Linked DNA regions of Arabidopsis thaliana. The protein of the gene in region 1 interacts with the protein of each later gene in a pairwise test. Each region holds a gene or a part of one and is shown in the gene's direction. Other genes may lie near its edges.

The links.
Region 2: the proteins of AT2G22180 (region 1) and GDU5 interact in a protein complementation assay, tested with the Arabidopsis thaliana proteins (one large-scale study listed by BioGRID).

What each region holds. Positions count from the first base shown.
Region 1 is NC_003071.7:9,425,947-9,432,401, forward strand, and holds AT2G22180 (hydroxyproline-rich glycoprotein family protein), read left to right. Parts: upstream 1-2,796; 5' UTR 2,797-3,022; coding exon 3,023-3,898; 3' UTR 3,899-4,195; downstream 4,196-6,455. Other genes in the region: PLAT2 (Lipase/lipooxygenase, PLAT/LH2 family protein), read right to left, coding at 1,064-1,540, 1,722-1,796.
Region 2 is NC_003076.8:8,582,785-8,587,227, forward strand, and holds GDU5 (glutamine dumper 5), read left to right. Parts: upstream 1-1,750; 5' UTR 1,751-1,880; coding exon 1,881-2,276; 3' UTR 2,277-2,513; downstream 2,514-4,443. UniProt on the Arabidopsis thaliana protein: Probable subunit of an amino acid transporter involved in the regulation of the amino acid metabolism. Stimulates amino acid export by activating nonselective amino acid facilitators.

The sequences.
Region 1 (6,455 bases):
ATAAGTCTGTTATTACTTTGTTGCATCGAATCATGTGATCGTTAGTTTAAAGGATTATCACTAGGTTCACTACTTTATCATTTTCTTCATTGTAGTTTATATGACATTTAATTTTCTGTCAATTAATATGATTGAATAAAACCATTTTAATCTGTTTCTTCTAATTTTTATGAGAATCATAAATTCTTTCTTTTTAGACAGTTACTATTATTAAGAAAGAAAAAAACATGTTCTAGGGGGATGGAGATTAGACATAAATATTTTGACCTTAACGAAGTCTTTGTAAATAAATATTATACAATCAGTAATTATCTTTTAAAGGCATATTGTCTATTTATTTTATGTCTAGCTTGTATATTGCTTTGTGGTTCTATAGATTATGTGTGCAGGGATGATCTTTTTCAATTTTCATTGAGGAACTTATTGCTCACACCTTCTTTTATAGATTTAAAAGACGATTAGGAGCATAGTGAGATTTATATGGTGCCTTAGGAGGAATTTTAAAGTCATTCATTTGATAATGGTTTTCAGTTATTAGTATGACCCAAAGAAATGTTCCGTTTCAACCAAATGTCACTTAATTAGGAGGTTTAGGCCAATACCAATTAATGTCGTTGATGTTTCTTACAAAATTGTAAGTTTCTTGTTGACTTTTTGAACATGCACAAAAATGATTAAAATTGTGAAGATCCACTCTGTATTAAATGTTTAAAATTACATCGAAAAATGTGAAAAGGGCCCATCTTTTATACTATTTGGCAAAGTTTTGATTAATCATAAGGTTGTAGCTTTGAACGTTTATTTGTGAAAATAAAACGAAACAAAGAAACTATATCAACCAGTAATTATCTTTTTTTCTTTTTAATATGATCAGTAATTATCTTTTAATTTCATCACACGAAAAACTTAATAATGTTTGATAAAAATCTCACAAACAACAAAGAACGGAACTTTTATTCGATCGAATCATTTTCATTATTGCCATCACACGTTCACAAGACAACAAAGAACAACTCTCCAAGTTACACACACACATACACATTTGACATTTCATTCACTACTCTCACACGATCCAAGAGAGAGTCTTCCGGATCTCAGACCCGACCCGACCGACACTTTCCCTAAGCGAAACTGGACAGTTATTCCGAACAGCACTGAGCTCATACGGCGATGTATCGGACGCAAGCCATTGCTCAACATCAAAGCTTTGGTACGAGCACTTTGCATGAACTCCGGCTGTCGTGACTTCCACGTAGTTAACATACCAACCGTGGTGGTCACCGGAGCCGTCAGAGGTCAGATTTAATGAACAGACTGGGCTCGGAAGACATGGTGCTTTCCCACTGAAAATGTCGAGATTACCCCTCTCGTAGTAGTTGTAACCTGGTCCCATTAAACCACCCCATGCTTCTAGGTTTCGGATCCCGATGTAGTCTCCGTATTTGTCGTAGACTCTAGCGCTTATGATCGAATCTGTACCGGCTTTGAAGGTTGATCCGGTTCTAAGGAAGAATGTGTAGACACAATCTGCTTCATCGTCCTGTGAAATCAAGAAAGTCATTTTTTTAAATGGGAAGAAACAGAAGTTTGTAGTCTAATAGTTTAAACTAATGTCATTGATGTTGTGTCATTATATACATATTCAAATCTGGTTAATGTGTGTGTCTAGTTCTAGACAAAATCATATATGAGAGGAAGCAAGTCAGATTTGGAAAACTTACGGCTAATGCGACAGCGGAGACGGTGGCGATGACGAGGAGGAGTGAGAGGAAGAGGACGTCACGGCGAGGCATCATCGGTGATATGGATGTATAAGAAAGAGAGATCTAGTCTATGGAAATATTAATAGAAATGTTGAAAATGCTAAAGTATATGAGAGTTTAGATTTCAATGATTTAATTATCGTCTGTTTTGGGAGTTGCGTATGAAGATGACGTGGTCGTTTTTGGTCCGTTGGAATGAGTAAGAAATAAGAATAAAAATACTTAAGGATCCTATAAGCACGTCGTTAACTCGGCGGACAGGTCGGCATGGGTTGTCAGATTTCGAAAAAAATTGCATATTTTTTTTTGTCACAAACGCAAATCTTCGTGAGATACAATACAAATGCACTTCATTTTTCGCCAATTAGAATGTAATGTAACAGTTTCCAGTGTAATGCTCGCAACATAACATGTTTCACGTGGATTGGGGCCGGGGAAGAATTAGAGAAACATTAATTTTTGTTTTTGCTTTTTGAAAGAAAACTTTCGACCATATGAAGGTAAGATTTCCTTTAATTTCCTTGATATTTTCATGTACATATGTTTGATTTATAAATGAAAATTAAGTGATTGTGTGTTTTTCAAAGAAAGAAAAATGAAATAAATTTTGGATAGTATTGTCAGCGAAGCAGCAACAAGGCCCACAAACATAATTTTGAATGGCCGGTTGCTGCGGATTAATGTGTGTAAATACATACATTCCGTTCATGTCAATCCCAACGTATATTCGTATATATGCATTTTTCGCTTTCTAAAGAAACAGAAGTTGCAAGAGAATTGAAATAAAAAACACTTTAATGAAAATTTGGTCCAGAAATACCACCCAAAAATGGTTTTAGTTCGAAACGTACAAAATAAAATAAGACTCGTTCATGATAAACATTACCAATATGTGCTAACCTTTTTAAGATTTTACTCATGTATGTCTTATATGCATATATAATTTATGTTAGAAAATCGATATCTTGTAAACAAAAAGTAACAACTTCGTTGATCATCATCAAATGCCATAATACTATATTATATGAGTTCTGTAATATAGTTTTCTAAATAACAGAAAAAGGGAAATTTAAGGTGAGCTGGCTAACTCTAAATAGCAAAATCTTCTCAAAACCAACCAAAAGTTTGAGTCATGCAACAACAACCACTTACTTTTCCCATGCAAACCCTAATTTTCGCATCCTCTCTTAATTCTCTCTCTTTCGTCTTCTCTGTAGACCAATCTCCACCACACATCTCGTAACTCCCACCTTTCTCCGATGGAGGGGCCACGGCGTCCTCCTTCCGCCACCGCCCCTGACTCTGACGATGACAAACCCGATGATCCTCCGTCCGTTTGGCACCGTCCAACCTCTAGCCTCCCCGCATTGCCATCTTTAGATCCTCCATCGCACGGTTCACACCATTGGCGTAATCATTCTCTTAATCTGTCTCCACTCCCAACGACATCTTCTCCGCCTCTTCCTCCTCCGGATTCAATCCCTGAGTTAGAGACGTACGTTGTCCAAGTCCCGAGAGATCAAGTCTATTGGACCCCTCCTCCGGAACATGCAAAATACGTCGAGAAACGCAGCAAGAACCCGGAGAAAAACAAAAAGAAAGGGTGTTCTAAACGTCTTTTGTGGTTCTTCATTATCTTGGTCATTTTCGGATTCTTACTCGGTGCAATCATTCTCATCCTCCATTTCGCTTTCAACCCCACTCTTCCTGTTTTCGCGGTCGAGAGATTGACCGTAAATCCTAGTAATTTTGAGGTCACATTAAGAGCCGAGAATCCAACGTCTAACATGGGAGTACGCTACATGATGGAAAAGAACGGGGTCGTTTCCTTAACGTACAAGAATAAGAGCCTGGGGAGCGGGAAATTTCCGGGGTTGTCCCAGGCCGCATCTGGATCCGACAAGGTCAATGTGAAGCTTAATGGGTCGACCAAGAACGCAGTTGTACAACCTCGTGGATCGAAGCAACCGGTTGTTCTGATGCTGAATATGGAGCTGAAGGCTGAGTATGAAGCAGGGCCGGTCAAACGGAACAAGGAAGTGGTGGTGACTTGTGATGTTAAGGTTAAGGGACTATTAGATGCGAAGAAGGTTGAGATTGTGTCGGAGAATTGTGAGAGTGAGTTCAAGAACTGACACTCGCTCTATATATATTTTATATATAACATGATTGTGTCGTTAGAGTTAACAATGTGCTTAATTAATTCATACTTTCTATGTAATGTTCAATTGTTCATTTTTTTTCCCTAATGTCTTTGTTTTTACTCTATATTGTTGAGCGACAAAAGAAAACGTGAACAAGAAGAACACAATAGAGTGAGCGTCTTTTTTTTTTTTTAAATGTACCTTTGCTTTTACAAATAAATTTAGTTTAGCCCAGATTACAAATAAACAGACTAGTCAGAACTTCTTAAAAACAGAAGATATAATTGGGCCTAAATGCAAAAGTAACATTTCACCTCCTAAGATTTTTCCTAGACCAAGTGTGTACAAGCAATACTCCGAAAACTTGATGGGATCATTCCCTCTTTTTTTTTTCTTTTTTTTTTTATCATTCTCTTTTTGATAAGATCATTCTCATTTCTCAGTGTTGTTAGTTTTATTATAGAAATGTAACTTACATTTTGGGAATAAGTGCCGTCTGTACATTTCTATTAGTTTAACTTTCTCTTTTTCTGTTGGAATGTAAAATTTAGCTTCAACAAAGATATTTATATTTTAATTAATAGAGAATTTCAAAAGTTTGAAAGAAAAGATAGACTTTTAAAAGAATGAAGATTGAAAAGAAACAAATAGACTTTTAGAAGAATGGAAGTTGAAAAGAAACAATCTTGATCAGTACTTCTTCCTTCGAGCCAACATCTAATGAGGTCGTGAAGACAAGTCATATTAAAATATAGGTGCGAGGAGACCCGATCTGTTATTTTGTCGATCACTAGAGCTGACGGTTTACTGTTTCGTACGGTAAAAATTGAATATAGTCATTACACTATCGCTCACAACAAACATAAGAGATAGAAGCTGAGAATTTTGATAGTGCCATTGACGAGGTGGGGTTGCATATGCATCCAATCAGGAGTGAGATGCGAGCTTAGTAGAGGACCACCAACTTAAGGCCACGTTTTGAAGGAGAAAGGACTCATAAAAATATATGATCTTTGGCTTCGTCGAATTCGCCATAGTCCATAGAGGTACTTGTCTGCGAATGCAACTACCCGTTTAGAGGCGAATGTGTTAATAAACGGAAATGCTTTGCGAGAATCTGGCCTCACCATCTTATTGTTCAATAAGTGGAATGTATTAATAAGAAAATACAAATTATGAAAGTTTATACAAAAATATTTTTATATTTCACCGCAGATTTCAAAATGCAATGTTCTTTTTTTTTTGTGCGCTAGTTATTTTAAATATACTTGATTATTTTAAAAAATCGAATATACATAAAGAATCATTTATTCTATACCCCTACCATCTACCAAGAAAAGGTTGAGTGGTCATTTTCGCGAAACCACAGTGGAGAAACAATAATTGTGTATAAAGATATTCCACTAGAAAGTGAAACAAATAGGTCCAATTATTTATTAAGGGCACCTTTGGACCATTTTCACAGTCCTAATTATGACAACAATATTGTTATCTTCTAGCAAGAATATAAAAAGACAAATTTTATAGTTTATTATAAAATGAATTCTTCATTTCGGGTAAAGGTTGGATATATAAAATTGTATAGAAACCAGTAATAATAGTTAGGATATCAAAGAACTATTTGATGTATGATGTTTTGCAAGACACTATATTCATTTATTCTATTTTTTTTTGTGAGCGTACCAAACAAATCAAATTAAATACTATTTTATGTATGATGTTTTGCAAGAGACTATATCATTCTAAACTAACTAGCTAATATTGAATTTCACACATTTTGGGATGAGCGCAGTATCCAACTCTATTTAATGCTTTAAAATTTAAACATTTGCAATCTTGATGTAAAATACAAACATTCTTTTATCATATAATTCCACATGGTCGGTTGGTTGGAACGCACGCCTAGGCCTCACTCTTATTTGTGTTTCTCTCTTTTCCTTCACACCACTACATTCGAAAGTTCCGATACAAAAGAAAATTTCCTTTTTTGTTACTTTAAATTTTGGTGTCTAAAAAAGTTGACTATCCAATCAAAAGACATTTAGAGTTTGCCAAAAGATTTTTGTTTTTAGTCCACCTTTTAGACATGTCACAGAAAATTATTATTCAAGTGAAGGGATTGGTGATCAATGTTTTTGCTCCCTATAATTTGGGCATCTAAGTCACATGCATCCCCATGTTACCAAGTAGTTTGGAACATCTCACAGATCAACATATACATTCATTTACTGAGTCAATACATTTAAAATTACATATAGTTTTAGGCTTTCTATGGCACTAGATAATTGAGTCAAATCAAGTTTTGTTAGAACCGTCTGATTTACTTGAATCTTCTCTCTCTATATATATAAACAAATATAGAAAAATAAAGAACGGAAGAGACATTAGACCATCCTTATTGCAAGTCTCTTACTATAAATCTTAGGTATAATATATAATCAAAATAATATGTGAATAGTTTAGAAAAAGTCCTTAGCTAAGAGATAAAAGAAGGTTTAAGAACTTCAAACCATTACAAAAACTCTTAGCTATAATTTTTTCAATAATA
Region 2 (4,443 bases), on another chromosome or scaffold:
TTTACCAAAAAAAAAACCTCATCAGAAAGGAGATGTACGTATGAAAAACAGAGTTCAATATAATCAGAATTCTTTCGATAATTTATGAAGTAAACTCTCAAATTTCGGATATTACAACACATATGAATAAAAACATTACTCATAACTCATAAGTGAGTAAGAAAAATAACATAATCCAAGAATAAGAGCTAATCCATCTTATGGTTCACTAGACATAGTTTATTCATTTAGAGATTGTAGATATATGGTTTATATTAATGTTCAAATATTAATCTAACAATTTTGGCAATCGACATGATTAAAAAATGAAATATATTCTCTTCCAACTATGGATACAAATAAAATCTATGGATTGTTGTTGTGGAATATTAAAAAGTAAACCCATATATAATTTACTGTTAACGGCAAACATCATTATCCAAATAGCACCATCGAAAAGACACATATCCCTGGCTTAGCGTAATAACAAATGGCCATGTGAAATTCATGGGCCCGAATAAAACACAAAGCTGGGCCCTCTTAATATTCCTAAATCCAAATAATCATATAATTATGTTTTCTGTTTGTCTCTCCCAAATATGATGTCGATAAAATTATAAGGGTTCGAATAGTTGCGCCAGTTAGGACGAACCAATTCATTTCCAATTCATTTCCGGTTTATACTACTTTTCTTTAGTATTTATGAACTATAATTTGTTGTCGTGTAAAAAATAGAACAAGTATGCGGCAAACTAACTATAGATTGTTTTTACGTAGAAAAAAAGCTTGATTTACATCAGTTTATTGTCCGTTCCAAAAATAGAAAACATTTCTCTGCTTTTTTTTATTGCAATCATTCAAAACCTAAATTTATAATCATTTATAACACCAAGAACATATATAAATCATCTTCACTCATAAAACATAAACAAACTACTCTACTTACAATATGCATAACCTCCACTAAATATATATGCATCCACAATTTACAAAATCATCATGTGGAAATTATCTCATACTTTAGTGTAATGGTTTTAACTGTTATATCACTTATAAGAAATCAGCTTAAAATTACTCGTATATGGGGCTTGTAGACTACCTTAAACTCCAAAAAACTAGATTTTGAAGCTCTAAATTGATCAATTAAGATGTATAGTTGGCCACTCTTTCAGCTGATCGATCATGTATATATGAAACAAATCTACAACGAATAAGTAAAACAATATTGCTTGTTTTTCAAGACGCAATGGAATTCAAGAGATCAGTCAATTCTACTAATAAATAATTTTCTAAATAAACATGATAATTTATCTATTTTTGTAGTTGTCTTTTGTCAACAAATGTCATCTTCATAAATGATTTCTTTATCCAAAAAATCACAAATTCATTGCCATAAATAACATGGTAAGATCACATATTAAGTTGAACAAAAAAGGGATCACATTTTCAAATATCTACCTCATATTTTTTTTTGTTATAATTTCTGACACGAGGAGATTATGGAACTGTCTTTAACAAATAAAAAAAGGGATTACGGAATTGAGATCTTAAAGTTTGATTATCCAAAAAGGATTTTATAAACAAAAAAATCAAGGTATATATCTAAATGCAAAAACGTATGATTAAATATCTTCGAACCTGGTGCATGATCAAAGCAACGTAACGTATCATGAAGATTCCGTGACCCACTTACCTTCAATTTTGTTTTATAATAATATTGTGAAATATTTATTACATCTCTTCCCTCTATTGTTCTCTTCCAGTACTATAAATAAAATGTCAAACCACTCCAACAAAATCAAACTAGCTACACAGTTATAAAAAAAAAGTATAAGCTTCACAATTTTCAAGCTTCTTCTCCTCTGTTCTTTAACAAATCCAAGAATAAGAAATATAAAACAATGAGGCAATTTCCAAGCATAAGAGGAAACATAAATGAGAAGATGATGACAACAATGGTGGAGTCTCAGACACGGTCTCCGTGGCGTACACCGGTTCCTTACCTATTCGGTGGTTTAGCCGCCATGCTTGGACTCATAGCCTTTGCTCTCTTGTTGCTCGCCTGCTCCTACTGGAGGCTCTCGCGGCAGACAGAAGATGAAGAGAAACAGACGGAGTCCGGTGAGAAAGTGGTGGCTAAGGCTTTTGAGGAGAAGATTCTTGTGATCATGGCTGGACAAAACAACCCTACCTTCTTAGCCACTCCGGTCGCGGCCAAGATTTGCCTGGATTGTGTTAATATGGAGAAGAAAGAAGGACAAAATGGGGAATCTAAAGTAACAGAAGAAAACCACTGACTACTGAGCTCTGTTCTCAAGAGTGTACTTTTTTGGATTCTCTGTTTTTGTCGGTTTGTTTTTTGTTTGTTGGGGAAGTAGTTTTCCTCTGTTTTTGTCGACCTTGAGATTGTAAATTTTCATTAGAGTAGTAAATGTGAACAAAAAAGTTGAGAAATTTCGGGTTTCTATGTATAAATGTTGGTATATGAATATATTTTGCTAAATTAAAGGTATCAATGTGTCATTGTTTTGATCATTAATATTTCCAAATTAGTTTTGAGAGTATATCTATATCCTGCTATAGCTTAAAGATTTACTTGTAAAACTAAGAAGTTTAGCTACATTTTCATGGCCGAGTGGTTAGCACTCTAAGTTAGAGGAGCATATATTTGGCCAAGACCAGGGGAGTGATTTCCGTTCTGAACGTGTGAGCCATCACTGTGTCTACGTGACTACTGAAGACATCTTTACTGGTCAAAACACTTGATTTTTATTGGGTCCAAAATAAATCAAAATGACCCAAGTTAGCAAACAAAAAAAACAAAAAAAAATATTGTGTGATGGGAAATATGTAAACAAATGGAAGTTGATTTTTAGTTTATTTTGTAAAAGTTACATAATTTTAGTCATTTTTTATAAAATTAGAATGTTATTTTATCGGAGAGCTTTTTTTCCGAAAAGTTTTCTCTCTATACCAGCTCTTTTTCTCCTGGTCATTTTTTTCGACAAAATTGTGGCTCCGACTAACGTTCGTGGACTTCCAAAGCCACGACGTTGGTTCGGCTTAAGTTTTTAGGTTTGTTTTTTTCTTTATTTGGCTGGGATCTTTTGGTTTTTCTGCAGAGTATCTGTTCTCATAATCAGAGTTCTTTGGTCTATATATGCATCGGTCCTATGCCAACTGTCTAAGTTGTGGTTGGTGAAGCGGTATGGACGACCATCTCTTAAGCTTCTCCACTCGATGCTCCCTTTAAATCTGGGCGAAATCTGTTTTGGTTTGGGATTCCTTTCACCGGTAAAGTCGATGGTTTCGACATCACTTACCAGGATTTTTCTAACAGTCTTTTGTACAAGTTCGAAACTTAACGGTTAGGATCTAATGGAATTTCATGATTGTACTTTTGAAGTCTACTAATAAGCAAGTGAGACATGAAGATTGAGAGGTTATGCTTAGATTTTCATATTTTCCAATTTCAAAATTTCTAGCTAATTAGATAGTTGATATTTTTGCAGTTAGATCATTAGTTTCTCTGTTTGGTTTAATTATGTTTTTCATTTGTTTCAAGTTTTTATGTTTCTTCTGGATGGGGCTGTTGGCTCCGGAAGTCCGTTATACTAGCCGGTTTTGTATACCTCCTTAATTCGATAAATAAACATCAGTGACCAAAAATAAATAAATGTTATTTTACCTTACGACATTTTACTTTACATGATACCTACCACACATGTAATCTGAACGAAAAAACCTATACGCTAACATAGCCATACATAAGCGTTTTTACTATCATGTCATTTTTTGCAAAATTAATCATAATTTTAACTCAGGTCCTGAATGTTTTATAGTTTTTAATTGGTTTTTAGTTTTCGGTTTTTGAATTTTGGTTTTTGATTTTTGAAGTTTTTGATTTTTGTTGTGGATTTTAGTTTTTGCAAAATCAAGAATGGAAATTTTTTTATATTTTTTTTAACTCGAATGGAAATTTATATAATTTTTAATTTTTTTACTTAATCTTAATGTTTAAACATTTTTAAATTGTGTATTTTATCTTTGGATGAATTGATAAATGGTAAAAATAGCATAATTAAATAATAATAGTAAATTAAAAAAAAAGGGTTACGTAAATTGTTTTAAAAACCCACAAAACTTAGTTTTTAGATTCTATGAAGAAATAGCTAAAAACTCCTAAAATCTAGTTTTCCTATTTTTTAAAAAATCTACTTTTTGTAGAAGAATGAATGAGTAATTATTTAGTTTTTGCAAAATCAAAATAAAAAAACTACTTCAAAAATTGGAACCATTCAAGGCCTCAATCATTTGTCCATTTTTAATCTAAACGAAAAAACCCACTCCTTTCATTTGTTTCTTTAAATTTCTGCAATGTTTAATTTTTATTAAAACTTATGTTCGTTTCTTTCAAGTCATCTAGTTTAAGAATAGTACAAGAGCACAGTACGAGTGTACGAC